Xenopus tropicalis: one gene and its partners. The protein of the gene in region 4 interacts with the protein of the main gene of each other region in a biochemical or structural test. Links are inferred from orthologs where the notes say so. Each region holds a gene or a part of one and is shown on either strand. Other genes may lie near its edges. The genes, in order: srsf1, nkx3-1, topors and top1.1.

Region 1 (8,823 bases), on a different chromosome or scaffold from region 4:
TACTGGGAAGTGATACCAAAGAAAATATTTCTACAGGTAGAGCTTGCATAAGGCTGTTATATCTTCTTGGATATGAAAAAGATAGGAGAAAAAAACATGCAAAAAAAAAAAAAAGTAATTTTGTGTGTAACAGTTTACAATAAGTACAATTGGACCCACAGGAGGACTGCCCATTTTTACAGTGGGTGAAGTTTTATTAAAAAAGGTATCACAGAGGAAAGTAAGCATGTTGTTGGTATGCAGTTGCTATGCATAAGCTATGACTGATCAGTCACAAGCAGCCAACAGCATTCATGTAAATGTCAGCATATATCTGCAAAGCTCAGTCTGCAATGGGTATAGGCTGAAAAAGTGTATCCCTCCCACAGCAATTTACACCAACATCTGAGTTCATTTGATTTTTAATGTGACAATTAAAACAAGAGCAATGTTTAGAACCACAGAGGACATGCATGTTTAGCAGTATTGATATTATACTCTACCTAGTAGAATGAGGCCCACAAGACATTCACATGTATTGTGGAAATACCCCTACAGACAGGAATAGAAAAAGGACATGTTCTACAAGCACAGGACTAAATTTATAAAACAGATCACAGTATCACTTATGAATAATTGTTCTCTTAAAACAAGAATTTTCAGCATAAGGTCAATACTGCCAATTTTGTCTAACAGTAGCACTTGGAGTCATACCATGGCCTCCATATTTGATCTGATCCTCCTCAAGCCTCCATTTGATAATCCTAAAATGATTGAAATGTCCTCCACAATCCTTTAATCCATCTCTTCAGATATGTCTACAGAAAGACACATGAAAAGGCAAGGTAAAACAAGAATTCCCCCAGGAAAAAAAAGTTAGAATGTATGGTAATCAACCACCAAAACCCACAGTGCCATAACCATAGTAAACACCAGCTGGTGCCTCTGAAGAGTGGCTAGCTAAACTGGAAGAATCTAGCAGTTAAAATACAGTTTTAGGCATGAGGGAAATGAGGGCATTAAGGAGCCAGTCTGATGGCAATACTACACAAAGGATTCAACACTTCGGCAAAATTGAATAAAACAGTGACTTAAAAAAATGAAAGTAAAGAAAACTGTATACAACATGAGGGTCTACAAAAAGCATCACGTGTTTTTCATTTATGTACGAGAGCGAGATCTGCTGTGGCGAGGAGAGTAGCGTGGAGAACCACGGCTTCTTCTTGGAGAGTAACTTCGGCTGCGACTGTTGCTTCTACTACGGCTCCTGCTACGACTGCGGCTGCGTGACCGCGATCTTCCATAGCTGGGACTTCTTGGACCATCTACCTTAACACGAATGTAGGCAGTCTCTCCCTATCAATGAGAGAAGCTGGATTTGAACAAGCCAATCTTCAATATCTTATGAACTTAGGCACATCAAAGAACGATAAAAGTCAAGCAACTATAGTACATTATACAGAAAATTTAAAATTCCCATATCTTTTGGCACCTTATGTATTTGGCCAACATCACTATTGGCTTCAGAGGTCATGTAAAACAGATACTGCTAGTCACAATAGGTAGAGAAAAACTTAACACAAACTACTAAACAATTTAGTATTTACCTCATGAGACCTAAATTTAGTGTTATCCAGCTTCCGTACTGCATATGTCATATCTTCTTTCCTCACAAACTCCACAACTCCAGTACCATCTCGGAACACATCGGCATAACATACATCACCTGCTTCACGCATGTGATCCTTTAAATCCTGCCAGCTGCCACTTGGAGGCAACCCTAGAAATATAAAGTTATCAGAGTGTCAAATTTGGTATCAAAAGCAGTTTTATACATAATTAAAAGCATGCAAATGGTGGAAATTTAAAATGGTTTATGAACTTCTAGTGCCAAAATTCCAAGAGTAGGTATCTATGCTGGTTATACAGCAATGCATGGAGCATTAAAACAGTCCAAAGACAGCTGTATTGCTTAAATGAACACAGCATCCTGGGGAAAACCCATTGTTTTAATCTGAACCATGCTTCCAGCGAGACTCACAACAGCCCAATTCTGCTAAAATAACTCAGGGGTTTACATTTAGTACGTTTTAAAGGTAAATTTGTTGCAGTGCTTCATGTTTGAACTGAAGGTAACATAGCAACATGTGCAAGTTTTCATAGTCCAGATAGCATCCTGAGCAACCAGACAGGGCCATTTAATATCTTGTTTGAAGACAATACCCTATCCTTCCCTTTTCTTGTGACTGCATGGTTTGAAGTCCATTATGCAGGAGAATTGTGTGTGAACTGTAATACAATTATCTACCTTGCAAGGACCAAGCAGAGAGTTGCTTAAGTTCTGTTAAGCTGATGCAAGCCGTTAACTGAACTAAAGTTAAAGGGAGATATACTAGTAGTTCTGTTTGTATACATTAATGGTCAGTCATATCCACTGGTATAGAATGCATAATACTTTAGAATGTATGCATAACTGTGTCCAACTCATTATTGTATACATGTGAAATAACGCTGCTTGTAAAAACCTGATGGGCATTATTCCTCTAAAACTTTGCAACTGATGTTTTTACTTTGGTTTTTAAACCTGCCACCTGATAGAACTCTTACCTGACACAACCACTCTGTATTCTGAACGTCTTGATGGAGGTCCATATCTCCCTCGGGGAGCTCCTCCTCCGCCGCCACCACCACCACCGCCGCCGCCGCCTCCACCACCTCCTCCTCCGCCGCCGCCACCACCACCACCACCTCTGCCTCCAGCTCCTCGCCCACTTCTTGGAAACTCAACACGCAAGCGATAGCCATCATAATCATAGCCATCTCTACCATAGACAGCATCTTCTGCATCCCTAAGAGAAACCAAGGTAAGAATTGCTTTAGTTAAAGAATGCCAGGTTAAGAAGAGAATATTCACCTACAATGGTAATTACATATCCTGGAAAACTTTCTTGGCTGTAAATGAGAAAACTTTATTACAGTCATGTATAGAGCTACAAACGACACATGACCCCAGATTAATTCTGTGTAAGCAAGCCATTGTATCTTAACAGTCTTTTAGACATGAATGGCTGCCCCCATGACTACACAAAAGCTTTTGTATTTACATTTAAACAGTACATTTTCACCAATACTTTACATATGTGCATATAGTGCAGATGCTTAAACACCCATTATTCATTTTGTAGTGTTGCTATTGAATATCAATACTGCACTTCTCCAAGCAGCCTACATAAAAGGTGTTAGGAGTTCTGGTTGAATAAGTGCAGTGAGCCTAATTGCATGCTTTATAGCAGAGACATGAGGCAGCGGCTTTAAAGCAAACAGGTCAATAAATAACCCAAAGCACATTTGCTTGTTAGAATGCCTTCCCTTAACACACTAGTAAGCATGGTGCAGGGCTGCAGAACAAAGAGCGGAAGCGCTATTCGGTCCCACACACAGGGGGCGCTGTTGCCTAAAGGCGGTAATAAATAGGGATTTACACGTGCTAATGGCGATACACAATGAGTGTATAATACCTCATTCTGGCGCCACTCTGTAGGGATTATAGGCTAAATATATTAACTTGAATAATGATACAACGCACCGATGTTGAAACATAACCTGCACCATAATCAGGCCTAATTCCCCCCCTCACTGGCCTCCTCGACTATATATAAACTCTAATACAACAGCGGACGACATTTTATCAACTACAGCAGAAATAAAGTCGCAGTACCACCACCCCGCCCCCGGATACACTCAAGGTATATTGTAGTTATTCACCAGTTAACACTAGGCGAGCCCATTAGCACGATAGGCCAAAGCAAAAACATTTACACAGGGATTACCTTGGATCTTCGAATTCCACAAAGGCGAATGGCGGGCCCCCTCTGCGGTTCTTTAGGTCTATGTCCCGAATGGCCCCATACTTGTAGAAAACGTCCTCAATGTCCTTGGTGCGGATGTCTGGCGGCAGATTGCCAACATAGATACGGCAATCGTTGTTACCCGCCGGCCCCCTAATCACGCCGCCCCCTGACATATCCAGCTTGATGGATTTAAAGGGAGACGGATTGAGAAGAAAAAGAAATGGAGTTGGAAGCCAAACAGACCTTCGATGCGCGCTTCAGAGCTTGGACAAGATGGCGGAGTTACTTCCTCCCTTGCTTTAGCCGCGCAAGGATACTAAGAACTCGCAGTGGTGCGTCCTCAACAAAGGTAATCTTACGCCGAGACAATATAGAGCCTCTCGTTTCCACGTCTTCACGATGCAATGTTCCTAAAGCTATGTGCCAATTACGGCCCTAAGAAAGAATCTATTCACTGAGGTAATATTTATACTAGAAACCTGAGCTCAAGCTGCTTCTCTGTATGTGATAGGGGGGCTTTCTATACCCTGTGCTTGACGTCACGTCCGTCCAGGAAATGCGCGCCCATAGTGGGGGAGGGCAGTGGGTGTTGTTTGAAAAATGTTTTGTTACTCGTCGTGCGCCATGGCTGTTGTTAGGTGGTTTTGTATTATAGAACCATGGTCGGAGGCTGTTAGCTCTTTATCTGCAGTGACATTCATTATGAGTATGAAAATCATTAACTACAGGTGTGCTCTCAATGGTTTCCGCAATAAAACTTTTAAAAGGGTTTTACCCTTGTTTGTAGTCCTGAGTGCCAATTGCTTTTTTTGTTGTTACAGTGTATTTGGAGGGTGCCGATCCCTCTAGCAGTGTGCACCGTACAAAATTTTTTTTGGAGTGTTAGGGTGTGCGGATAAGGTCTCTGTGGTCCACTCTCAATGGTTTCCCCATTAAAGTAGCACTGCAATTCAATACTTTGTAACTGCTGTCAGGGTAATATTGCAAACAAGGTTGGGAAGACTTTGTCCTATTTATTATTATTAACATTTATTTATAAAGCGCCAACATATTCTGCAGCGCTGTACAATAAAAGGGTTTTATACATTGGACATACAGAGTAGCATATAAAGCAATCAATAACCGATACAAGAGGTGAAGAGGGCCCTGCCCAAAAGAGCTTACACTCTACAAATATTTATGTGTTGATAATAAATACATGCCTTACATTACACTCCTGTTTGGGCCTTGTGCATATTTGTTTGTTTTATTTTAGTCGAGCTTAGATTGGGCAGTGAAATTGTAAGCTCTATGGGGCAGGGACCTCCTTCCTACTCTCTCACACCACATGGCGCTCAATCTGTGTATTTATACTTCTTGTATTTATTATAACAGTTGTCCTCCCTGTGTGTAATTGTGTATATTGTAAGATTGTATAGCGCTGTGTACCCTTCTAACGCTTTATAAATAAAGTTATACGTACATTTATATATTGCCCAGCGCTTTACAGAGTAGGGAGTGCAACCCTGGGCTGAAGTGGAAAAGCACTTCAAAAAGTGCAAAAGTATTTAAGAAACTGATGCTGGAATGTAAAAAAAATCCATAACAGAAAAATACTCGAAAATGTATGCCTTTTAGCAAACAAAAATTTCTTTGAACAAATTTAATATAGCTTTTGAGAGGTCACTTCCGACAGTGGAACAAAGGGGGCAAGGGGTACTGTCATGAATAGGTGTGCAAGTTGATGCTTCCCCCCACATCGGTATTGTAGAGAGAGAAATAGCGCTCAGAATTTCATCTCTTTAAAGAAAAACTATACCCCCAGAATGAATACTTAACCAACAGATAGTTTATATTATGCAGAGTGACCTATTAAAGAATCTCGCCAAACTGGAATATATATATATATATATATATATATATATATATCAGTAAATATTGCCCTTTTAAATCCTTTTCCTTGATCCACAATTTAGTGATGGGCTGTGTGCGCCCTCAGAGATCACATGACCAGAAATAATGCAGCTCTAACTGTAACAGGAAGAAGGCAGAACTTTGTTCATTAATTGGCTGATGGGGCCCAGCATGCATATTTTCCTTGACTTGTTTGTGTGCACTGTGAATCCTATGATCACAGGAGGCGGCCCTTAATTCTTAAAATGGCAACTTTCTATTTAGGAGTACCCAATAGCACATACTACTATAAAGTATATTTTTATAAAAATCGTTTATTTAGATGAAGCAGGGTTTTACACAAGGGTGTTTATGCAATACATTTTATAGAGACCTACAGTGATTGGGGATATAGTTTTCCTTTGTTACTTTTTATTTTTTAAGATCTTTTTTTGCCACCCCTGGTAACTTGCCGGGCGCTGCCACCAAAGGTGAGTTTCTTAACTATCCTCATGGCAGCAGCACGTTGAAAAGTTGAAAAAATTGCCTCTGATGGTAGTGCCGGGCAAGTTAACAGGAGTGTCGCTTCTGGCAACCTTAAGAACAAAAATTCTGATTAAAAAGAGCAATTGCGCTCTCATTTATGATCCCCGTATATATGTATAACTATATAAGGGGACCATATTATCTCTCTAATGCTTTATTTACCAGTAGGTCCTTCCAGCAGACACAAGGGCATCCGTTTCAAAAGAAGGAATTTGTTGTTGTTCTAGTATCTAAATCCATACAGTTGTAAAAATGAAATTAAAACATATCCACTCAAACGGTACCAAAAAGGGAAACAATTGTCAATTTTGTGCCTAAAGTTTGGAGTTCATGCTGAATTCTAGAGCTGTGGATTATGTATTTTAAACAGAATAGTTGCAGTGAATTATCAGTCTGCTGTGGGTATAGATTAGTCACGTCCCAGTTTGTCATATCTGGATCCAATCTGGGTCTGCAGTTAGCCATTTGCCTCTCTGAAGCTGGAAAAAATGTATTAAAACCTGAATGTCCCTATACAGATCCTGTGCTTCTTAGAATATAGCACAATGCTATGGGCACAAAAACCTGCTCTGTTTACAAACACAGCACAAACTGCAGTCCACTGGAGCTGGAGAGCATAAAACCCCAGACTCCACGTCACCTCAAAACCCCCACATTAATTGCCTCTGGCATGGACTCATGTAGTCAAATAACTACAGTTTTATGTGCAAAAAGTCCAGTACATGGTGATCTGTTTACATGGTCTGTTCTTCCACACATTGCAGTGGGTTCCTGTTCAACAGGCAGCAATCACTCAAGCAAGAACTGATGCAGACTTTTAAAAAGTAATCATTAAATACAGAGTATTTTTGGGGTTATTGCCTGTGTTGAAAGATTAAAAAGGGTTGTTGTCAGACTTGGAATTTCTTGGGAAGAACAGTCTGGCTTTGAGAGTAATCCATCAATACATCCAGGAACTGTGTGTGCTGCATGGCAATAATATTTGATTTAGTAGTAACTTTTTGAAAATCCTGAACATATCAGTCAATCATCTAAGTGTAGTACAGTGTATATACTACTACAAGCACCATAAATGTGTTAATGATATTTATGGGAAGATGAGAGGCTGAAGAGAAGGGCTATAAATTATAATTGATAATCTTGGATCTTGCAATTCCTCATGACAGTGCTAATGAAATCTTGGTGTGCTTGCCAGATGCAGATACATGTCCTGAAGAACCAGTGTTCCAGAACAGATAATCCCCTTGTTTACGGAGCACTGAGATGAATGAAGTCTTGAATTCCTGAAGCGTGCGCTTTTCACAAAAACTGTTGGAATTAGGGTATAAACAATGCTATTCTTCCATGCCTAAAAAAAAGCTCAACATCCTCTCACTACAGTTTACCTTATCTACTAGGAGGGAACAAAGCATATGCTTCCTAAAGAATAGAACAAATAACACTGTGGGGGTATGAGCTACTTTCAGTTGTTGTCCTTGGAGGTATATGCTATCTGCTATTTGTGTCTACACCAGGGCTAACACAATGCCTCTGAGTGCAGACACAATATAGGCAGAGAAACATCTCAGTCTAGCATTAACCTAAGGTCTACAAATGTAAATATCTTTTATTCAGTCAGTGTCCTACTTACCACTTATAAATAACAAAATTATCATATAACTGGATCTGACCTAATCAGCATATCTATTACATTCAACAGGATGTTAATGCCAGGGCTTGTATACGAATCACTGAAACTGGAAAGTTGCCCTTATTCTGTTTCTTTCTCCCTAGTTTCATATTTCTACTGCCTCCCCCTCTCCCACACCAAACATCCCATGCAGTTGCACAGATTGATGCATCCCATGCAGATGCACAGAATGGTGGGTGTGGTAGTTTGGATATTATGCACTGACCTACTTCAGCAATCCCTGGTTGCAGGTGGCTTTGCTACAACTCCAAGGAGTTGTGGTCCAGCCACATCTGATTTTCAGCAGTACTTCCTGTCTGAGGAAAGGTGGCAAACTAATATGAATTAAAGAAAGACCAATTTTTGTTTGCATTTTAGATTTGACGCCTGCCCCTGTGAGTACAGACCCAGTATAACAATAACGCATTATTGAAAACAGAGAAAACGGAGGAGGAAGAGAGCGTTGGATACACCAACACCGTGCACACCATGCACATCAAGCCAGGCTTGATGACCAGCTAATGAAAGACAGAAGTGTTGCCTTGTGACCACAATAAAGGCAATTGTATTCTTTTTGCAATTAGATTGCTACATTCTGTGTATTACTGAACACAGAGGATATCATCCTAATGATCATGTACATATTTAGTTCAGATACAAAACAAAGTCTATAGTCATAGTACTGTGTATTTATTTTTTTTTTCCTAGGCAATGAAAATACAAATACTGTACTGAACCCTAGTGTGTCCATGCTGGGAGCCATTTGCTTTGTTACTTTGGATATGGGGGCAACAAAAAAATGGGCAAATATGTAATTTGTGGTTAAAATGTATCCCTTGTATGCAGTGACAGGCAGTTAAGTTCAAAATGCTAAATTGAAAAATGTCTTATTTTAAAGGTGTAAGA
Region 2 (8,552 bases), on a different chromosome or scaffold from region 4:
TATTGAATTGCTAGCTTGAAGGCAAGTTTTTGAGGCATAAAGACATAAGTATAATAAAAAAACAGCCTCTTGCAGGCTGGCAGTCCTCATGGGCTAGCCAATCATAGCCCGTATTTGGCAACCTCAGGAACTTGCATCACACTTGTTTGGCTAATGAACCTTTTACATTTGAATGTGACTCATGAGTTAAAAAATAAGGTTGGGGGGGCTATTATAGTATATATACATAGGATATGTATATATACATAGGATTGCTGTGTATATATGTACACTGGGGTTCATTTTAAGGGGTTCACCCTGATAGACTTTTTTAACCCAAATTAATTATGTACCAAGTGGGCCAAAGGCTATGATCTAATTGGTAGCCCCCACAGCTGCTCCAAAAAATATGTGGCAGTGTTAACCTGAAACAGGCGAGCATATAATAAGTTGGGCAATAAAGACATGTAAAATGTACAATATTGGTTAGCTCTTACATTAAAGAAGGCCAGGGTTTGGCAGTGTTTCAAGTGAGGGGTAAATTAAAGGAGTGGTTCACGTGTAAGTTAACTTTTAGTATGTTATAAAATGGACAGTTCTTTTTTCTCATTTTTTATTGTTTTTTAATTATTTGCTTTTGTCTTCTGCCTCTTTCCAGCTTTCAAAAGGGGGTCACTGACCCCAGCAGCAAAAACTACTGCTCTGTGAGGCTTTTGTTACTTTGTACTTTCTATTCAGACCTCTCATATTCATATTCCAGTTTTTCATTCATACCAATTCATGGTTGCTAGGGAAATGAGGACCCTAGCAACCAGATAGCTGCTAAAATTCCAAACTGGAGAGTTGCTAAATACAGTAAAAAACTAAATAATTCAAAAACCACAAATAATAACAAGTGAAGACCAACTGCAAATTGTTCCAGAATAGCACTCTTTACAACATACCTTAACTTAATTTAAAGGTAAACTTTAAAGGAATTATGTGACTAGTAATAATTACAGATTCATTGTCCATGTTTTTATTATATACAATTTTTATTTGCAAATAGTGTCAGCATAACTGTCAGATTCTGACTATAAGGCATTTAATTCCCCACAGCTCCCCAAAGGGGCACATAACACACATAAACACAGTTATTCCCAATATTTTCCTTCCCCAGGCTCAGTCACTGGCACAGATGTTGGTGAATAATATGTTGGTGTGGAGTATCCTTATCTTCCCACTATCCATAGCTGCTTTGGGTGAAGTAGGGAACTATTGCTTATTATGTCTGTGTAGCCGTATAGCAGGGATCCCCAACCTTTCTTAGTTGTGAGCCACAGTCAAATGTAAAAAGACATGGAGAGCAACACAAACCAAAACACAGTTATAGCAAATAAGCCTATGACATACAGGGAACATCCTTCCATTCTACTAGGGGCGGGTCAAACTGAATGCCACCCTCGAACATCCTGCCCCCCCACGACCCCACATAGGCACGCAGCAAGTGTGCGAAGAAGCACGCATATATGCAATAGAAATGGCGGGGGCAGGGGAGCACAGACCAGGGGTTGGTAGGAGAGGTACCCGCTTAGGCAGGTGCTTCTTCTGCCTACCCCTAGTTCCGAACTGCATTCTACACCACCATTTTTCCTGGCGGAGAAGTGCCCAAAAGCAGAATTGTAGCCTATTAATTATTTAGTCTTAAGGTGACCATTCTTGTAGCAATTTTCGATGATGTTCAGGGTTGAATCATCAGATATGGAGGTAGAAACAATAGAAATTCTACTACCACCTGCCGATTCAGCCCTGAACGTGGATTTTGCTCGGACACCTTCAATGGCACACAATCAAAATCTTTTAACCTGGGCGATCGATGACTTGACCGATATCCGCAGCCTTTTGCAATATCGGTCACCTCGTCGAGCCGCCATACATGCACCGAATATGAGGTTTTGTACAATATCATCAATGCGTGTATGGCCAACTTTAGATTCTATTCAAGTTTAATGGCAGGTTGCATGGCCACATTCAGGCACTTCTGATGGCTAAAACACCAACATGTGCCATGGGCCAGCTGCAGGGTTCTTTTGAGTATTACTTTCATGCAGGCTAATTTCCTTTATAGGTAACCCAAGTGAAAGGGCTGATCTTGTCTGCTTGCTATAGGAATACATTATCAAGAACAATGGATCCCAGTAGAGAAAGAGAATTCTAAGTGCAAAGATCTAGCAGGTTGGAGGCATAGGGATAAAGCTTGGCCTGGGAAGACCCAGCCAAGGCCTGATACCGTCTGCCCCTCCCTTACAGAAAGAGATTAAGCTGATGACACTAAATTGGACAAGGATTTATAGTCTGCGGCCCTTAATCCATAGATCCCCAAATGTCAGAGCTCACAGAACAGGTTTTAGGATCTACTTATATGATCAAAGCTTGATAAGATTGTCCTTGTCATTGATACCCATGTGCCAATCTTAGGATTTTCAGGTCATGTAGGCAATGTTGTGGGGCCTTGACATCTACCTTTACTTAAATCCCACCACTTTAATATGACCCTCTTGTAGCAATGACTCTCAATCCCAGCAGGGACCTTAAAGCTTTGGCTAAACCACAGCTCCCACAGTCCCCTATGTGCGAACACTCTAAGGGAATGCTGGGAGTTATTACTCAACAATAGCAATATAGAAACAATAGATTTGCGATCTTCCACTAAAAGCAACAAGTGTTTTCAAGTCAATGTCTTATTGCAGCCAATCGTAGGTGGCTTTATTGTCCTTTAGTGCAAGGTATAAGTATTAAATAGCTATTCATCCCGCTACAAGTCCTGTCTAGCTAGATTTCAAGGTATCAAAATTAGTTTTAAAATAGAAAAATATATTATAATTTAGAAAGTCCCAGTAGCCTAAGGATGAGGTCACCAGTGAGGCGTGGGCCACCCTGCCAGGTAATACAGGTAGGGGTAGCAGTGATAGTTCTGGTAAAAGCTGAGGAGTGAAGCTCGGCTGATGTCTGTGTCTCTGCTCCGTACAGGGTGAGCTGAGGACTTCTCTACCTCCTCCATATCAGTGGCCAGCTGCTTCCTCTTGGTCTTGTACCTCCGGTTCTGGAACCAGATCTTTACTTGGGTCTCGGTCAGTTTCAGGCTCTTGGCAAGCTGGGCTCTCTCTGGAGCAGACAGGTACTTCTGGCTGGAGAACTTTCTTTCCAGCTCTATGACCTGAGAGTGGGAGAAGGCAGCTCTGGATCGTTTCTGTTGCAGCTTTAGTTTCTTTTCCACCGGGGATATTGGCTGAGCTTGGTCTAGCTCCACATTTTCATCTGATGAAAGATGAGGAAGGGGAAGAGTCAATAAAAGAAATATATCTAAGAATGATTTGCTATTCTATTGCAAAATATTAGGCTATTAGAAGTATGTATGTATGTATAACTTTATTTATAACGCGCCACTAGGGTATGCAGCGCTGTACAATCTTAAAATATACAGAATTACACACAGGAAGGAAAAGTGTTATAATAAATACAATAAATAAGTATAAATACACAGGGAGTAAGTGCCATGTGGTATGAGACACAGTAGGAAGGAGGTCCCTGCCCCGTAAAGCTTACAATCTAAGTCACCGTAAAGAAGTTCTGTGACCTGAGACCAAAACCTGTAGGCCAGTGCTTCTATACAGGTCACAGAACTCTGAGGGGAATTCTAAATAGGGGTATATAAGTATTTTGTAATAATACACAAGCTTTAATAGTTCATGTTACACAAGTGGAATCACTGAAAGTGCCATTTCTGATGACATCATTAAGCACTATATTGTACAAGACAGCCTTTTGTGTATTATAAGCATAGGCCAGTCTTATTACAAAGATAGGATACAGATATCAGAGACAAGCTGGTCCATAGTCAGGGGCATAGAAACAGAGCATATCCAATAACTACAGGGGGACAGAAGGGCACAGTAGGGGTCCTGACTGTTTTGCATTATTAATATATATATATATATATATATATATATATATATATATATATTTATTTGTAAAAATATGTTTAGCTCCAATTGCTACCTACATATCACTGGGACACATCCCATAAGCATTGCATGGGCTTTGCATAATTCATTTGCCCTAGAAAGATTATTTTGACCTTGTCAATAAGGCTTAATACATTGCTTTAAAATAGGTTCCTTTGATTAATGAGCTACACAATATAAAATGAAGAAGGGGCACGTGTTAACGGCTGTAGTTCAACAACAACAGGAAGTTAGATTTATGTACAATGCTCCAGAAAGCTCTATTCTAATATGAAGTAATAATAAAACCTAATGCAGAGGGTAACCACACATCTTACATTTTAATAAGTATTTCTACATCCTGGACTCCCAACAAGCAGTGTTCTGACCCCTGACTAGGCTTCTAGCGGTGCCACTTGGCAAACATTTGTTTCCACTCTGGGACCCAGCAGGAGGAAAGGAAGTCTTGGCAGGGGATAACTTTATAGCAATGACCTCAATCAGCCCATTTGCAGCTTCAGTTATTCTGTAAAAACCGGGACACAGTGCTAGTAATGTTACCCATTTGTTTGTATGGGTCATAATTAGAACATATGCCACCAAGCTTTCCAAGATAGGGTAACAAGTCAAACTGAGGCTGCAAGGGGAGCTAACCAGCTTAAGCACTATAATACATTGGGGCTAAAAGTAACCTCAACAACTAACTATGTACTCAGCTACAGTATCATCTCATATCTCATATACCCATCACTTGTTACCAGCACAAACCTCCCTACAGGTTCAGGACTACTCATCCCAGCTCATCTATGTGGAATGGCTAAAGGTAAGTTATCCTTCATGTCAATAATCCTGACATATAAACTTTTGCACTGACCTTCCATCTGGCTGTGGTGCATCTCTGCAGGTTGGGACGATGACTGTTGTTTTTCTGGGGTACAGTTCTCCTTCTTGCCCCCCAAGGAAGAATCCTGGTCCTGGTCTGTCTTTGGGGAGTCCAGGCTTTTTTCCTTTCTCCCAGGTCCTATATGTGACAGAATGTCTTGGATGAGGAAGGATTTCAGTGGCTTGGCAGGAAGGGACAGGTCTTCTGTTCCTTGTTGAGACATCCTCGCTAAGTGCTCTGGGCTGGGGTATAAGGTGCCTACCCTGATTGTGCAAGGTTGTCCTGGGTAAAACAGGCTAGGGGAAATAACCTTCTAAATTATGTTTTAGACTTCTGGAATAACAGGTAATAAACAGAAGTATAGAAAATAATAAATGGCTTTTTAGGTGGAGTGTGGGTAAGTTCTATGCTGCTGGCTACCCTAACTTTGCCCACCAATGCGCCTTGCCCTCTGCTCTCTCATCTCTCTACTGGCCTCTCCATCTCCAGTACATATAGCTCCCCAGTATTAAGCCAGCCTTCTTCTGATTGGCCAGGCTGACACCCCTGCCTTCCCACAGACTGCCCCACACAGGTACAGCAGCTTATGTTACACCCAGGGGAGGAATCACCAAATCCTTATCTCCCCTCCCCTGCTGGAACAGCTACTGTGCAAGACACTGCTTGGAAACTTGCTTTGTGCTCTCTCATAAGTCTACCAGTCCCATATATTTATCCAAGTGTATGTATGTGTGTATATATATATATATATATATATATATATATATATATATATATATATATATAGTTTTGTTAACACATATAAAATATACAGCTTGGATGCCATTCACATGCACTATATATATTGGTACCAGAAAGGCAACTGCAGCCACTCGGTGATTATCAGACTAAGCGGGTTTAACTAACACAGTAATTGTCATCATTAGCAGCATAATGGGCTTAATGAGTCCTCAGGCACTGGCACATTAGTGGTTCTCACTCATTCTTGCACATCCATGTACTGTTTGTTTACAGGGTAAACACTTCCTGTTCCATGTAAATCTGCTATGGATTTAATTTGGATGAATGAAGCCAAGCCCAGTGTACTCTCATTGTATATACATACATTCTAGTAAATAGAAGAACCAATGAGGAATCCAGCCAGTCTCCAGTTAATTAGAGGGTTGGCAGGTATCACTCTAGCTACAGCTAGACTACATTTCCCAGAAACCCCTGTCATATACAAAGGTCCCCCCGTGCTCATCCCAAATAATCATTTGTCACATCAACTCTATATTCTGGTATATCATAGTATGGACCATTGGTCCCTGCATACCCTAGTGCAGTTGCAACCCTTGCACCAGAGGTGAAACTATAGAGGGAGCTGTCCCTGTGAATTCTGGGGGGCCCAAGCCAGTGTGTCAATTTAGATTAATAAGAAAGGTCTTATTCACAAAAGGTAGAGGGGCTTAGAATGATTTTGCTGTGAGGTTTAGTAACTTCTCTGTATGTCACTGCCCTGCAATTCATACCAGGTCTGGACTGGGATTCAAAATAGGCCCTGGCGCTTCAAGTATACAGAGGCCCAAACAGCCCCCCAGCTCAATAATGACGCCCCCCCCCCCTGCCCCCACACCGTTGTGTCCTAGGCACATGCTTGAGATTTCCTTCTGCTTTAGCCAGTTGAACTGTTCTAGACTACAACTCCCAGCAATTTCTGTTAGCCAATGATTAGTGAGCATGCTCTGAGAGTTGTAGTTCACTATGTGGAGAAGCAGACATTGTGAGGGTTGGAGACTGACTATAAAACAGCTTGAGTATATGTTTAAATATGTTTTATTACCGAAGTATAGTGGGGTCCTAAAATGATTCCACTAGGGGCCCAGTAACTTGTAGATACCACCCAGAACCCACCCAGTTGCTATTTCTCATGGTGGGAGGGAAAAATTGTCTGCTCGGGTGCAAATGGTTTAGTGCCTATAACATGTATTCATTCCCCAGAATGCTTTTCTGGTTACAGCTATCATTAGTTATTGGCGACAATGGCTAATTATAGTGCAGTTAATTACAGCACCCGCTGCCTGTGCTGCCACACGCTTGGGCACAGACAGCCCGCCACTGGTCAGACCTGCTTCCTGGGCATAATCCTTCTTTTACTTGTGTTTGCCTTCCAGTCTCAGCCACTCGGGCTGCTTCCTTTTCACAAGAAGAAACTCCTTCCACTCCAGGGGTTTTTGGATTAGAGCTGAATAATTATATATACATATGTATACGTTCCCCCTCAGCTATAAACAGGAACAGAGTAGTCAGGCTTGTATTCTGTCTGGGCAGCGCTAATATCTCTCCCATAGGGAAGGCAGGCCAATTCTGTGTTCCACACTCACAGATGTTTTATAGGAGTTTGGGCACAGGAGGTTGTTTGATTGCTGTGCAGGTCTGGGGCTGCCACCTTGTGCCAATCTAGAAGGTTGTGATGAAAAAAAATATTTGAGGTCAGGTTTTCTAATCCAACAACACAAAATGTTTATCAATATTATATTTTTGGAGACATTGTTCTAGTAGTGAGGCTCACAAGTATATTTGTCTGGTTTTTCTAACCACTCTTTCCAGAGCCCAAGAGCCCCTGCTAAATCTGGACAGAACCATACATGGATAACTAAAGAGTAGTGTGCTGTGCTACATGGAGACTTTTCCAAAAACTGATTCACATAAGCAGGTCCGGACTGGAATTAAAATAGGCCCTGGCATTACAAGTACACAGAGGCCCCAACAGCCCCCACCAGCCCAATAAATAGTGACTGTCTATGGCATCTTACAGCAGCCCCTCTGGCATTTGCCAGAATCCACAGAATGGCAGTCTGAGCCTAAACATAACTGTGATAAGGCACGGTGCTTTTAAGCAAAATCGAGGACCTACTGTAGGTCTATTGGGATCTTTTTATTTCAAGGTTCTTTTGGGGGTTCGGGAAGCACTAAGAAGTAGTTCAAGAAAAGCTGCATTTTATTTCCTCTCTTTCCCTATTCCTATATTCCACTTTCACTTGTGTATCTTGACTCTCGCTTAAACTTGCTCTCTTTCTGTATTTGTTGTTGTATCTTTTCAGTCCTCCCCCTCCCCAACCTGCCTATTTCTTAGCCAAATGGTGGATAGAGTAGAAAGAACCAGAATCTCAGGGGATGCTGGCATTAAGAACTGAACTCTGCTACCAAGTCAATTCAATGGCTTCATTTAACAACATCAGTTGTGTTGGTTCAGCTTCTTCCACTGTGCTGCGAACAGCCTAATTTATCGGCCAGATGTCTATCGGGCAGTTTTGATTTTCCTTTTGGATTGAGGACCACATTGGCTTGTTGATGCGGTCCTCACCCCAACTGCCTGTATGCGCATTATTGTGATCCAATCATATGGCTGTTCAGATCAGGCCAATATCACCTGCCTAAGGGCGAGGTTACACAAAGCGTAGATCCACTTCTCTCAGACCTGAATGTTTCCATCAGGATAAGAGAAGAGTATCCCCTGCCCTACTGCCTGTTGGCCTGCACTGAAAACTACAGAATCTGCTTCAGTACAGCTACGCGGAGCATAGGTCAGCCCAAAAATGCCCGCTTTCATGTTTTACAGGCCAACCTACGCTCCACTCTGCCACATGTGGTTGCATGAAGCCTATTCTGTCATTTTCAGGGCAGGCAAACAGGTAGGATAGGAAAGTGAATCCACTTCTCTCAGC
Region 3 (6,784 bases), on a different chromosome or scaffold from region 4:
ACAATCTATATGGGAGGGTAACTAACAGACACAAATAGGCAAATATAAGTGCTGTAGGTCACAGTAGGTTATTCACCTTTACATTCATTTTTAATGTTATAGAACACCCCAGCGTACAGCCACAGCATATTTATTTTAAACCTGAAACTCCATGGTTTCCATTACTTTAGTGGCTGGTTAAAATAGTCTTATTGATCCTAATGTGTCTATACATTCATAGATCCCTACTACAACCGAATGCAGGCTAAACCATTGAAAGCCCATTTTTTTGCTGAATTAGAATTCATCTGTACGTCTGTTCCTTTTTTACCTGTCTGTATATTATGTCTCCAACAAATTCTCACCTACAGTGTTACCTTTTAGTATGTTATGCAGGTATGGGACCCATTATCCAGAGTGCTTTGGGCCTGGGGTTTTCTGGATAAGGGGTCCTTTCATAATTCAGATCCCCTACCTTAAGTCTGCTAATAAAATTATTAAAACAGTAATTAAACCCAGTAGGATTGCTCCAAAAAGGATTAATTATATCTTAGTTGGGATCAAGTACAAGGTACTGTTTTATTATTACAGAGAAAAAGGAAATCATTTTTTAAAAATGTTAATGATTTGATTAAAATGAAACCTATGGCAGAAGGCCTTTCTGTAATTCGGAACTTTCAGGATAAGGGGTTTCCAGATAAGAGGTACAATACCTGTAGAATGGCCAGTTCTTAGTAACTTTTCAATTCGTCTTCATTTTTCATTTTGTATAGCTTTTAAATGTTTTGCCTTTTTTCTTCTGACTCTTTCTAGCTTTCAAAAGTGGGTCACTGTCCCCCGCAGCCAAAAAGCATTTTGTGAGGCTACAACTTATTGGTGTTTTTTATTACGTATCTTCCTATTCGTGCCTCTCCTATTCATCTCTGTGTCTCAATAATATTACTGCCTTGTTGTAGGGTCATTTAGACCCTAGCAACTAGATAGGTGCTAAAATTCCAAACTGGAGAGCTGCTGAACAAAAAATGGAATAACCGAAAAACCACAGTTAACAAAAAAAAAAATGAAGACTAGTTGCAAATTGTTGAAATTTCTATGTCTTAAAGTTACAGGATAAATTATGGAAATATTTCACGAACCACAATTCATAAAAAAAAATTTAGGTTATCATGCTAAAAGTTAATTTTAAGTTGAACTACCCCTTAAGATACAGTGCAAAGAGATACCGTATAATAATATCATTTAGCGTCACGAAGAGTAGGGATGCATTATCACATTTATTTAGCTTTTGCATATAATGTATAAGTTTACCAAATAAGACTAGTACTGTAAAATTTAATATGTGTTTTTCTTCTTTTTTAGATGATGGCATCATCCTCTAACAATTATTCACTAGATGGCAGCTTTTCACCCCAGGCTGGCACAAGCAAACTACAAAACCATGGTACTGCAACAGATGCTTCCCCAGACTCAAAGTGTCCAATATGTTTGGACAGGTTTGATAATGTGTCACATCTTGATCGATGTCTGCACAGATTTTGTTTCCGTTGCATTCAAGAATGGGCAAAAAACAAAGCTGAATGCCCTCTATGCAAACAGCCCTTTTACTCCATTTTCCATAGTGTCAAAGCAGAGGATGATTTTAAAGAATATGTCTTGAGGCCCACAATGAATGGTTCATTTGCCAGTCCTGATGGACATAGATTTCGTTATCGCACAACTATGAGTAGAGACAATCATGTAGCCATTCGGACATTAAGGTCTTCAAGCACTCAAAGGACATTTTCACCTCCTGACAATGGAATTTTATTTGAAGGGTTTTCAAATCAGAATTTACATCAAAGAGGTGAAGAAATCCACCAGATGATAAGAAGGCTAGCCTCCAGACGACAAGCCAGTGCAGAGGGTCGTTCTATGAGGCAAATTCAAGAGCAAGAACTCATTAACTTCAGAAGAGCTTTGTACCGGTCTGGAATACGTGTGAGAAACATTCAGGATGGCGGACGTTATAGAGATATTTCTGCTGAGTTCTTCCGGCGTAACCCTGCTTGTCTTCATCGGCTAGTACCATGGTTGAAAAGAGAGTTGACTGTTCTCTTTGGTAGCCATGGTTCCCTTGTTAACATTGTACAGCATATTATTATGAGTAATGTCACACGATATGATATGGAAAGTCAAGCATTTGTTGAGGATCTTCGTCCTTTTTTGCTTCACCGCACAGACCATTTCATACATGAGTTTGTTAACTTTGCCCGATGCCCTTACAATATTGAAGCATATGATCAGCATGCAAACTATGATTGTCCTGCTCCTTCATATGAGGAAGGAAGCCGTTCAGAGTCATCTGTCATCACAATATCGCCAGATGAAGCAGATACCAGAGATCCAATTATTCCTTCTGCTGGTCCTGGTGTTGGCCAGACAGCTTGGGATGATGAGACCCCTGGTCCCTCTTATTCCACACTTGAGCAAGCCTCAGTTGCTGTATCCACTACACTAGATATCTCAGAAAGCTCAGACGATGAGCCACCCAGCATAAGACAGACTTCACAAGAAGTTTCCAACAGTGAACCCACAGAAAACCTGCAGGATCAGTCCTTTCCAACTGATGACTGTGTTATAGTAGGGTATGTTAAACCACTGGCAGAAAGAACTCCAGAATTAGTTGAATTGTCATCCGACTCCGAGAGCTCATTGAGTGAGGTTAAGACAGAAGATGCCAAAAAGCCTACGATTAAACCATTTTTCCTAAGTGACAGTAGTGAATTGAGCAGGTCATCATCATCTTTGTACACACCTGCAAAAGAAAAACGTTCACGCAAAACCAAGGGAAAAACCACATCTAGCAAACATTCCCATTCCAGGAAAAAAGAGAAGGGAAAATGTCGACTTGATTTAACTTCTAGAAAGGATAAGGGGGATTTGAACAGTAATTATGCTTTGTCCAGATGGAGGGATAGGTCAAGGAGTTCTGATTGTTATTCTCGTTCTTCTCGCAATAAAAGCCACAACAGTCGAAGGAGGCATTGCAGCAAAAATAATTTGAAACCCAGGAGTCCTGAAAAGAGCAGGCATAAAAGTAGGAAAGGAAGGAAGAAATCTAGTAGTAGGGATCGAAGTCTGTCTTGGAGGAGTAGGACTGTGTCACTAACTAGTGAAAGCTCCAGAGAGAGATGCGAGTCAAGCTCTAGAAGCCGAAATCGAAGTAGGGGTAGGTCACGAAGTCATGATAGTGACAATGATTTTTCTTCCAACAACTATCGCAGTTCTTATCAATGGGAATATACCTATTACAGTCGAAATCGGGATAGAGATGGCTATGAACAGTCCTACAGGAGACGGACTTGTGGTCGAGGACGTTATTCAAGACCCTCTGCTAGCCCAGAATATAAAATTCAGTCTTACTCTGAAAAGAAAGATACAAGAAAGGAGAGGGGATACATTGCTAGTAAACAATATCGCCGTGAGCGATACAGGTCAAGGAGTCGCTCAAGCAGTCAGATGAATACATCAGGGACTGAGCATACCAGATCTGACAAACCAAGTGGAAAAAGAAAATACAAAACACACCATTTGGAAAAGCAGGAAAGGGAAGGGAACAATCGAGAAGTTCCTTCTGCCAAAGAAAAAGAGGGAGGTCTGCAAGCAGGCAAGACTTCTCTTGGCAATCATACTGGTAGTCTCAAAAATGATTTAATGGGTTCATCCTCTGAACCTAAGCAGAAGTTAAGAAAAAAGGCAAGAAGCCCAAGTGTGGAAATAGTATATGAGGGCAAAGCAGTTGAAGGGGCAAAGCACCACAAAAAGAAGAAGAAAAAGAAGCACAAGAAAAAACGACGCAGGGAACACACTAATTCTCCAGCTGCTTCTCCCATCATTATCACCATTGACAGTGACAGTGACACCCCAATGGTGGAGGATCTCCCATGCAATGACCACAGCTCCCTGGTACCTGAAAACAAAACTAGTATTGACTCAACTAACTTCATGCACAGCCAGTCGCCACCTACCTCGACCACAGTAAGTACCACAGAAGTACTAAGTGGAGAAAGGGCAGACTCTGATTCCAAAGCCTCTGATTTATGTTCAAGTAACAGGCACTTAGATGCTGCCACTGGAATACTGGATGGTTTACATTTTGATGATAGCTCTGATGAACAGAATCTGCTCCCTGTACAAAGTCCTCCTAACATACCGGATCTCTGTGAAGTAGAACCTTTAGCAGCTGAGAGTTCCTTGCCAGAGTCTGATCCTATACTGGACAATGTACCACCTACATCAACTTCAGAAATATCTGAACTTCATAAAAGCTTTGCTGAGAGTATATTTGACTTTGATCTCTTAAACAATGTAACATAGCACCAGTTTCCTGTTAAGACTGTTGGACAGGAGACCGCTTCTTGTTTGGTTTATTGGTACCAAATTCTGGCTTAATGAAGACATCTCTGCTTTGATCATTTTCATCTCATTTATTTTAAATGTTGTGTATTTGCTGGCAGTAAAGCATAATTTCCAAAGCAACATTTTAATTCCAGTATCCCTTTACTGATTATTAATTAGGAGTGCATACTAAGTGCATAATTCAATTAAAGGTCTTTACTAGAGTGCAAAATTAAATTATTAAAAGTGGCACATGGAGTATGTGCTTCTCTCCGTGATATTCTATGAACATTGTTAAAGTGATACTAACAAACACACTAGAAAATTTTAAGTAATGCAGTAGTGCCATCTTCAGGACCTGGGGATGGTGCATTGTTTTGCTGTATTGTTGGAGCTAGAGCAGCTAAAAAAAAAAAAAGGCAAACAGCCCTGAAGAACAATGATTTCCAGTGCTTAGTGATGTTCTGGGACACCAGGTCCTGTGGACGACATTATTGCTTTGCTTAGAATTCACAACTCACCATCACTTTAAGCTTTAAAAAAACCCTCTTATGGTTGAATTGTTAACAATAAAAAAAAAAAAAAAAACCTTATATCCACCAGAAGACTTACTCCCTCCCATAGGTGCTAAAGTTCTCCAGTGCAGTAACTCCAAACAGCAAATAAAACAAATGTCTGGTTGGTTGCTATAGTTTGATGCACTAGTGCATTTTAAGGGGGATCTCCAGACAAAAACTTTCCTATATACATTGTTTTTTTTAATGGTTTTGAAGCTATTTGTAAATGTATCTGCAATGTAAAGCAGTTTTCTGTTTCTGAACAGCCAGACATGACTGATTTCAAAAGCAAATATATTTACAAATAATATGTTTTAGGCAACTCATGCTTAAACACCTTAGTCCCCTGTCAGCTGTTTGTAATATTAAGTGACTCAAATGACTAAAGTGATCACCTTTGAGCCTGTCACTGCTACAGATGTATGTTTTTACTTTGCAGGAATAGAAGTTGTTTAGATCTGGCAGAAACTGTTGAGCTTCAATCACCCCAAGGGAAGATTTATCAAAATCCAAGATAACCGCTCACCAAAGAAAAATCCACCCACCTTCTATTCATTCCTATGGGATTTTTTCACCCATAAATACGCTTCTAAAAATTTCATAGGAATGAATAGAACGTATGTGAGTTTTAAAAAGTGGGTCAGTTTTTTTTGTAGTGAGCTCTAATTTTACACTGTTAAATCTGCTCCAAAGAGTGAAGTTAGAGCTCGCCACAATCTGTTAAAGTAAAATTCCACCACAAACCTTCATTTCTATGTCATTTTAAAAGACATATTTATCAAAGGGTGAACTTTCATTTATTGATAAATACTATTTTTAAAAATCCCATAGAAATTAATGGAGAATGACAGTATTTCACTTTAGTGGACTGTGGCAAGCTCTAACTTCACACTTTGATAAATATACCCCATTGGTTTGTTTTTCACATGCTTTGGGTCTACCAGCAGATGAAGAACATGAACAAGGGTGAATTTATTTAGGGATAAGTTACTCAACAACCCTGGCATCATTTTCTTAATTGACTGGTTAGTTTCTTGGAGGTCTACACAATATAGACTACCAGCCTAGTTTAGTAGAATGTTACTGCCCTTCCCAGTATTTCCTTATCAGGAGACAGTTATGCATAACTCTCAAAGAAAAAAGTTAAGAAACATGAAGGGCTGGAATGAGTTGTAAGATAATTTAACAATAAATTTGTGGTCCACAGATGAAAAGCTCCCCAAATAACCCTTGGCCACCACTCAGATGAATGGGATATGTCTGCTCATGTCACTTTTCAGCCTTGAAGGGGATAGTCTTCTTTGTGTTAACTTTTAGTATGATGTAGAGTGAACAACTCTAAGCAACTTTTCAAATGGTCTTCATGATTTATTTCTTATAGTTTTTAAATTTTTTGCCACCTTCTTCAAACTATTTGTGGCTTTCAAATGGTGGTCACTGACCCTGGCAGCCAAAAACTACTGCTCTGTGAGGCTACAGTTTTATCTCTAGTTACTTTTTATAGCTTTCTTTTTTGCTATTCAGTCCCTCTCCTATTCATATATCAGTCTCTCATTCAAGCCACTCCCTGGTTGCTAAGGTAATTTGTACCCTAGCAATCAGCTGTTATAGCTTCAAACTGGAGAGTTGCTGAACAGTTATTGATATGATTAATAAAGTACAAATAATAAAAAAAGGAAGACCAATTGCAAATCATCTCAGAATATTACTTTATATAACATACTAGAAGTTAAATTAAAGGTGAACCACCCCTTTAACACATTCTAGAACACATAGAAGCTTTTTGTCAGGGTTGTGTGCCAGTTATTCAATGTTCAAGAATGTATATTAAATGGCAAAAGTTTTAAAATTTGCCATTTTAATCCTTATCC
Region 4 (8,110 bases):
AAAATGTAAGTCGCCGGTGGGATGGCACACGCGGCGGCGCAATTTCCTCAAATCACCGAAAATGCCTCACGAGGCAACTTCGGCAATTTGCCGAAATCGCCTGGCGCAGCGTGTGCCATCCCACCGGCGACTTACATTTTCGCCGGTGGGATGGCAATTCGGGGAGATTTGTTGCGGGCGACTAATCTCCCCGTGTGCCAGAGCCCTTACAGCACATGTGGTCTGTCTAATAGGAAATGAATGAACTTATTTCTTGACTGCAAACTAAACTATAGTTTAAATAAATAAGCTGCTGTGTAGCCATGGGGGCAGCCATTTAAAGAAACAGTAACACCAAAAAATAAAAATGTTTTTAAGTAATCATAATACAATGCACTGTTGCCCTGCACTGGTAAAAATTTGCACATTTGCTTCAGAAACACTTCTATAGTTTATATAAAAAGCTGCTGTGTAGCCATGGGGGCAGCCATTCAAGCTGAGAAAAGGAGAAAAGGCACAGGTTACATAGCAGATAACAGATAAAACACCATTGTATTGTTATCTGCTATGTAACCTGTGCCTTTTCTCTTTTAAATGGCTGCCCCCATGGCTACACAGCAGCTTCATTTACTAAACTATAGTAATGTTTCTAAAGCAAATACACCAGTTGCACCAGTGCAGGGCAACAGTACATTATACTGTAGTTCCTTTTATACACTTTGATTTTTTGGTGTTACGGTTCCTTTAAGCTGGAGAAAAGGCACAGGTTACATAGCAGATAACAGATAAACTCTGTAGAATACAATAGTGTTTTATCTGTTATCTGCAAATTAACCTGTGCCTTTTCTCCTTTGAATGGCTGCCCCCGGGGCTACACAGCAGCTTGGTTTATATAAACTACAGTAGGGTTAACGACAAGTATTATAATTACTTTTATACACTTTCATCACATTCCCTCCTGCTGTGGGTGGCATAGGGTCCCCTACCATTTATTGCAATAATAGTAATGATTTCCCTATAGGTGCCTTAGAGTAAAAATTGATTAACAATTGCATGTCATTAGCAGTTTTTACACGACTAATATCAAGAGATAATATGAATGTGTAATAGAAGTTCCCCTTGTTGCCTGAGTCAGACACAGATATAAATGTACAATATACAACATAAGTCGTTCATGGCTTCCCAGCATTCTATGAGTGACACTGAGGGTTTACGTTGGAGGAGGAGGAGGCGTACCATGCCACAGAGATTCTGGGATCCAGGTAGTTGAGTTTGGAGGTTCCAAGAGCAATCTGTTTGTTCTCTTCTCTGTCTGTGGCCTGAACCTCCAACTTCATTAGTTGCTCTTCTACCCTCTGTACAGCTTTCTTTTTGCTTTCCACAAGCCTGTGGGTATAAAAGTGTAATCAGTTCCCAGTGTGTGTACACACACACAAAACAACAACAAAAGCATACAGAGCCCGATAAAGAAGTTCAATGTAAACCTTAGCTATTAAAAACACATGCGAACTGCAGTGGTTGCGTAATCCAGTTTCTCCATTCTGCAGAAAGTCGATCATGCTGCCACAGCACGCAGGCACTTGCTCCCTTACTATACCACTGGCACAAGCAATTGCTCCTGCCGTCTCACCGAGACTCGTGGCACGAGCAAGCTTACATAGGAATATAAAAGTGCTAAAAATAATGAAGTGCTACAATAATGATTTTCAGTTTAGTAGCCCTAAAGGTGTGGTACTAATAAACCGTATTTTGCTATCTCTTACTTTTTTGATTTTTCATCCCGCTTGACCTTGGCATCTGCTTTTGCGCTCTTTAACTCTCGCCGGGCGTCCATCAACTGATCCTTCTTTGCATCGATCTAAAACCCAAAACACAAGCAAAGTTAAAAGGTGCATTTCAGGCATCAGAGCTAAACGTCACAAATAACGGTCACGCTGCAGATTCATTTCGCTCAGACCATATCCTTTCATCTCAAAAAAAAAAAAAAAAAAAGGCTTGACTTGACAAATGAAAATGTGTCAGGCCTTAATTATATTTAAGAGTTATCAGAACACCCAAAGTGCCTTTGCCCTGGCAGTGAGTATACACCCCCCCCCCACCCAAAGGGAGGGACCCTATGTAACCAATCTGGTGCCCTTGTGTAGGTGGCACCAGCTTTACAGACAGAGGGTTTTAACCCAAACATTCACAAACTTCACCTTTCCCTGTAGGTTCATCATGGATTTCTCAAACGTTTTAGGAGGGGCTCGCTGATGGTTACACAGGATGGCGACGGCTCTGTTGGCACGGTTGTAGGACAAGATCTTGGCGGGAACATTGTCATCACCTGAAACAAGCCAAAATACTATTACACAAGCAGTTATACATAAAGGGTTCTCAGACGTCAGATTATAGGAATACAGATATAGGATCAGTTATTTGGAAATCCAATACAGGAAAGGTCATCTCCCATAGACTCAGTTTAAGGCAAAAATTTTAGTTTTTAAAATTACGTTTTTCTCTGTAAAAACACAACCGTAGCTTCTAAGCTCCAAACGAAGCTGTATGAATCCATTTTGGTGAGTTTATTTAATGATTACAATTTTTTTTAGAAGACAAGGTATAGAGATAGACATTACAGAAAGATCCCTTATCCAGAAAACCCCAGGTCCCAACTACTCTGAATAATAAATCCTATACCTGTACCTGAAGAGTGTCACAACAGGACTCATGAGCAAGCTGACAGAGGAATATAATAATGCCATCTTTAAGAACACAATAGAACATTTATTTAGAAACGTATTAATAAGACACCCCCCGCTAGTTACAGCCCACGTAGGGTAAGAAAGGGGCCTTACCGTTAGTGAGTTCGTTTAGTTGTTGCTGCAGGGTGATGGAGGCGTTATATGTTCTGAATACTTTGGCTGTTAGTCCCTCCATCAGGTCCTGAAGGTGCTTGTTCAAAATGCTTGTCTGAAAGAAGGGATATAAAAAGACATAAACCTTCATATGTCCTAGGCAGGTTTACAGAAAAATCCTGAATGTCCAAAGTCAAATCTACATACGTTGAGTCTGTCAAACAGGTCGTCGTCAGGCTGCTTGTTTTCCATGAAGAGCTGAAGATTTTTGAAAACCTGAGCAGAGCACCAGAGAAGGAAAATTTTAGTACATAAAGTCACAGCTTCCTTCCATGTTTATTGGGGAGATTTTTCAGCTAAACAAATTTAGAAATGCAACTCCGTATACTTACCCTTTTCTCCACTGGCACTTTGTTGTAGTAGCGGATGGAATCTTTACCCGGGAAGTCGAACTCTACCACAAACTCTTGGCCGTCCAACTCTTGGAAGAGATTGATGTGCTCCACTCGCAAGGAGCAACAACCTACAGTATCTGCTGTTTCTCCCTCTTCCTTTTCGTTGCCAGCTCTCAATGCAAGCTGAAAAGGATTGATTTGGTGGGTAGAATTAGGATACAAGCTAAGGTGAAACATACAAACATGGGGGGGGGGGGGTAAGTAATGCCAGGCCAGCAGCACTCCTGGAATAGCTTAGGGTCACAAGAAAGAATTCCACAAAATGGGAAGGCATACAGCCTATACAGTGACTACTTCAGGAATAGCCTCTGCTGTCTGGGATAATCCTTGGACTGCAAAAATATCTAGTTTAGTTGCAGGCCTGCCTAGATGACCTGACCCATACCTCCTTAGGACACAACAAGCAGTGTATACTGTACTAGTTGCAATAAACATGCATGGCCACTTCCCATCATCCCATTTAGAACAGCAGACAGTATCATCTGCAATCAGACAGGTTCACGGGATGGGTTGTTGAAACCCACCCTTGACCTTTGTTATATATCCTAATAGTTTAGCAGTGTTGATGGGCCGAGTAGACACATGCAAGACCAAACGCAGTTTTGTATCTATCAAACACAAAAGGGCCTCACCTTATCTATAAAGTAGAGCGCTACTGCTCTCTGTCGGACTTTCATCTCTTTGGACTTCCAGTCCTCTTTGTAAGTATTGCGGATCTTTTCAACACACATCTTGAGCCTTCGGGCAGTCTCGTACTTCTGCCAGTCCTTCTCACCCTGAAAGGCAAACAGGAATTGTTAGTTGCAGGAATTCAATTTTCTAGATCCATTTCCATTAGGATATAAAGCAACAACAGAAGTGCCTTAGTGGCCAGGCTGCCCATAATTATCTATTTACCTTGATTCGGGAGCTAGGGTTGAGCATGATGTATTTGATGGAACCCTGAATGTTTTCTGTCCATGATACCAGCCATGTAACCTTGCCGTCATGCCGAACCTCTTTCCACTTGTGACCAGCAGGAGCAACAGGATATTTTGAGTCTCTAAAATCAAGGGGGGTGGGGGAAGTGATAATAAAAAAAATTCCTACATTCCAAACACACAAGGTACATGAACACAAATTGGTATTGCTGGGTTTTTACATACTTGCTGCAGTTGATGATGATGTCTTCCGGCATTATCCTCTTCTTAAGTTTGCCCATCTTGGGGTGATCTCCTCTGCCCCTGAACAGGCCGGGAGGTTCTATGCGGAAGTTAGCAATACGTTCCCTGTGGTTGTCCATGACACAAAAGCCGTACTCCTGCAGTAACCGCTCATTCTCTTCTTTGATTTTCTGTAGCAGGAATAAAAGAAATGAGGCCCAAAATCCCTTGTCTGACCTATTATCGACTAGAACCCATAGCAGCTAATTGTTCTGCATTACTGAGCAAAACTCAATTTCTCAAGGTTAAGCACCTGCTTCTCTTCCTTTGTCATGTTTTTCCTCGCTTCCGATTGCTCTTTAAAGTACTGGCTCATCGCGTTGAAGTCGCATTTGCCCAGGTTGGTGATTAGGTTTCTTTCGTCGGCTGTCATCTCCTGAAAGCGGCCAGGAAGTCGGTTGAATTAGTTGGACAGATTCAAAGAGTTAGGGATTAAATCAAACAAAGAAAAAAAAAAAAAAAAAAACTACCTTTTTCCAGTCTTTGAAGAAGTTCTTCCGAAAGATATCCTTAGTAGTGTACTCGTGGTCTAACATTTTTGCAAAGAACGTGGCCACTTCTTCGGCTTTTGGGCTGAGCTTTACAAGATTACCTGCAGCGAGCAGAAGATATAAGGATAAAGGCCCATTTGAATATATTCACCATCCTCTGCAGATATGAAGGGCCAGGGGTTTATTCCCAATTATTCTACCAGCAAGGGGGTTGTATAGGTAAGTGGTTTATTAACAGCAAGTACAAAAGCAAAGCTGGTACCTGAAGGCACGGGGACACCTGGGAATACTGCAGAGCCACTTACCATCATAGTAAAATTTCACATTGTCAGGGAGAGGTTCATAGGGGGGAGCAAACACTGGTCCTTTATGTTCCAAGAATTTCCACTTAATGCCATCAGCATGCCGCTCCTCCTCCCACCTATAGGAGTTAGAAGTGTTAGAAATGGAAGAAATGCTGTACAGTCCATAAAATACAATAACGCACGGCACGAAGCGGTTACCATTTCCACTTCTCTTCCTCCTCCTTTTTTACTTTTTTCTTCTTCACTTCCCCCTCGTTGCCTTTGCCCTTACTTTTTTTCTTGGGCTTAATATCCTGTGAAGGGAAACTATGTTTTTAAACTGCTTCCTAAACAACCAACCAGATGGACACTTAGGGGCATAAATTGGTGATGCTGGCCTACAAAGGATAATATGCCCCTTAGTTACTCCGCAATAGACCTCACCTCTTCCTCCTGCTTCCGCTTCTTCCCTTTTTTCTCATCTTCAGATTTGATCTTCTTAGGTTTGTAATCCTCACTAAAACCAGAATGACACAGTAGGTAAAATCAGCACCCACAGGAAAACTTTAGGGCAGTTCTGCTTTATGATCTGCTACATGACAACATTTTGTGTGGGCAGAGTTTCATTCTAATAAAAGAGGGTGGGGGTAAAAACCACATACACACTGCTTCAGTTATATGTAAGCTATTGGCTGGACACTGTCATATCTTACACAGTCACAGTACAATACAGTTTGTGAAACTCAAGGCCAGGCTGTTAAATGCCCTTTGGAAAGGCCAGCTTTGTGCCAAGACTTAGATTGTCTAGTGTATTCCCTCCTTATATATTACCTATATAGAATAACTCCGGAATATCTGAAGCAAGCAATATGGCAGAGTAGGTTGATGACATTTATTCCAACTCATTCTATTAAGACTGCGGCTATTAATCTTGGATGAGAGGAATACAAGTGCAGTAGTAGGTGGACAACCTACTCCCTTCACCATTCTAACCATTCCCTGCTCACGTACTCATCGTCTCTTGGCCTCTTCATTGCCTTATTTTCCTTGGGGGACATGTGGAAGCCGTCATCTTCTGGCTCATCTTTAACCCGCACAGGACTAGAAGAGAAGAAGCAGGGTGTTCAATAAGAGAAACTCCGCACCCAGTGGCAGTATATTTGCTCTACCGACCCATTGCCTTTACCTAGAGAAACCATTTGCTTTTTTCACTTTAACACTGCCGCTGGAAGATTTCATCTGCAAGAGATAAAAGCAGTCAGGTTAAACAGTGATACTGGTCATAGTGAATACAATAAATATGAGTGCAGGAGGTCCTCAAAACCTCGTTTTGTATGATATTCGGTGCGTGTATGGCAAGTCGGCGAGTCGACCAATATCGCAGGAGGCTGCTGATATATCGGTCAACTCGCCGATCGGACCGGTTAAAAGATTTTGATCGGGCGCCATAGAAGGAGCCTGAGCAAGTTCTGCCATCAGAGCTGAATCGGCAGAAGGAGGTAGAAATCCTATTGTTTCTACCACCTTATCTGCCGTTTCAGCTCTGAACAGTTAGTGGCTGATTGAACGATCTTTCGTGCGACCATCCCAAATCGCCACGTGTGTGGCCACCTTAATGGAGATGACAGCCTCACCTTTTCTTCTTTTCTCTTCTCCCGATCTTTATCTCTGTGTTTATCTTTATGCTTTTCTCCATCTCTATGCTTCTCAGCATCTTTCTCTTTGTGTTTCTCTCCATCTTTATGTTTCTCGCCATCTTTCTCTCGATGCTTATCGTGTTTCTCGCCATTTTTGTCCCTGTGTTTCTCCCCATCTTTTTCTCTGTGTTTCTCGCCATCCTTTTCCCGATGTTTGTCATTGTTTTTGTGTTTGTCTTTATGCTTCTTTTCTGAAGGATCCTTGTGTTCACTGGAGGGGAAAAACAGAAAAAAAGAGCTGTAGGTTGCAAACACTAAATCTCCCACATCCAATTCATGGGCATATAGCTGCTGCGATGGCACTGGTCTATGTATGGGCTCAGGAGATTCCTTTTTTAATTTGTTAGATTTTCATCAGAGAAACACGGCTGGCCAAGTACAGTTTGTGCTAAATATGTAGTCCAGATCCTAGCCTTGTCTATCTTCATATTGTATTTATTCATACAAGCAGTACATTTTCCTACTACAAACTTAAAGATGGCTAAGGCCACACAGCACTTTATAACCACTTATCCTTATAGCAATCATTTTATAAGGCAGGACACCTTTTACATGGATAAACAGCCTAGACATGGCCCTGATTCCCTATATTAGCTGTCCCACAAACGTATAAGTGCTTCAGTATCAATAACTATCCCACTAATTTAACTTGTGAGATTTTCTAATGGAGTCAGCAGCCCTTTCAGGAAAGGTAGGAACATACCTGTTGTTGTGTTTGGATTTTTCCCGGTCTTTGTCTTTCTTATGTTCTTTGTGGCGATGTTCTTTGTCTTTCTTGTGTTTATGAGAGTCTAAATCCCGGAGAAAACAAAAAATCAGTTACTAAACAAGTTACCCTTTATAAAGCAAACAGCCCTGGCAGGCTAAGTGGGACAGGCAAGCTGGCTACCACGAGGTTTAGCCTGTAATTTATACACTACAATTTGTTTTGTTTTTTTAAAAGCTAAAAACACTTCCTCCAGGGCAGACTGTGGTTTTAGGGGTTAATAACCAGGAGAACGAGCAGTTACCAGGCTGATATTTGCGGAATGCGTTGGGTGGAAGGGAACATGCCTACAGGGCAGAGCAGCTTCAATAGCAGACTGACAGCAGGAAGGCACTGCCACCTACCAGAAATGGCCAAGCAAGCTTAACTGCCCCCAGCTATTGATTTTTGAAGTCCCCA

Evidence for each region.
Region 1: the proteins of top1.1 (region 4) and srsf1 form a complex in vitro, tested with the Homo sapiens proteins (2 studies listed by BioGRID, with this or other methods). The link is inferred for Xenopus tropicalis from reciprocal best matches to the Homo sapiens genes TOP1 and SRSF1.
Region 2: the proteins of top1.1 (region 4) and nkx3-1 form a complex in vitro, tested with the Homo sapiens proteins (2 studies listed by BioGRID and IntAct). The link is inferred for Xenopus tropicalis from reciprocal best matches to the Homo sapiens genes TOP1 and NKX3-1.
Region 3: of the proteins of top1.1 (region 4) and topors, one has a biochemical effect on the other in vitro, tested with the Homo sapiens proteins (2 studies listed by BioGRID). The link is inferred for Xenopus tropicalis from reciprocal best matches to the Homo sapiens genes TOP1 and TOPORS.

The regions. Positions count from the first base shown.
Region 1 is NC_030678.2:76,100,517-76,109,339, reverse strand, and holds srsf1 (serine/arginine-rich splicing factor 1), read right to left. Parts: upstream 4,258-8,823; 5' UTR 4,004-4,257; coding exon 3,810-4,003; intron 2,829-3,809; coding exon 2,587-2,828; intron 1,760-2,586; coding exon 1,587-1,759; intron 1,336-1,586; coding exon 1,141-1,335; 3' UTR 163-1,140; downstream 1-162. UniProt on the Homo sapiens protein: Plays a role in preventing exon skipping, ensuring the accuracy of splicing and regulating alternative splicing.
Region 2 is NC_030679.2:127,286,491-127,295,042, forward strand, and holds nkx3-1 (homeobox protein Nkx-3.1), read right to left. Parts: upstream 5,321-8,552; 5' UTR 5,069-5,320; coding exon 4,837-5,068; intron 3,277-4,836; coding exon 2,873-3,276; 3' UTR 995-2,872; downstream 1-994.
Region 3 is NC_030677.2:115,114,824-115,121,607, reverse strand, and holds the end of topors (E3 ubiquitin-protein ligase Topors), read left to right. Parts: intron 1-1,338; coding exon 1,339-4,335; 3' UTR 4,336-6,040; downstream 6,041-6,784. UniProt on the Homo sapiens protein: Functions as an E3 ubiquitin-protein ligase and as an E3 SUMO1-protein ligase. Probable tumor suppressor involved in cell growth, cell proliferation and apoptosis that regulates p53/TP53 stability through ubiquitin-dependent degradation.
Region 4 is NC_030686.2:40,919,383-40,927,492, forward strand, and holds part of top1.1 (DNA topoisomerase 1), read right to left. Parts: intron 7,737-8,110; coding exon 7,649-7,736; intron 7,157-7,648; coding exon 6,883-7,156; intron 6,488-6,882; coding exon 6,435-6,487; intron 6,350-6,434; coding exon 6,260-6,349; intron 5,766-6,259; coding exon 5,693-5,765; intron 5,563-5,692; coding exon 5,468-5,562; intron 5,386-5,467; coding exon 5,270-5,385; intron 5,066-5,269; coding exon 4,944-5,065; intron 4,850-4,943; coding exon 4,727-4,849; intron 4,605-4,726; coding exon 4,417-4,604; intron 4,314-4,416; coding exon 4,169-4,313; intron 4,048-4,168; coding exon 3,904-4,047; intron 3,395-3,903; coding exon 3,209-3,394; intron 3,093-3,208; coding exon 3,024-3,092; intron 2,932-3,023; coding exon 2,817-2,931; intron 2,306-2,816; coding exon 2,178-2,305; intron 1,838-2,177; coding exon 1,743-1,837; intron 1,366-1,742; coding exon 1,216-1,365; intron 1-1,215. UniProt on the Homo sapiens protein: Releases the supercoiling and torsional tension of DNA introduced during the DNA replication and transcription by transiently cleaving and rejoining one strand of the DNA duplex.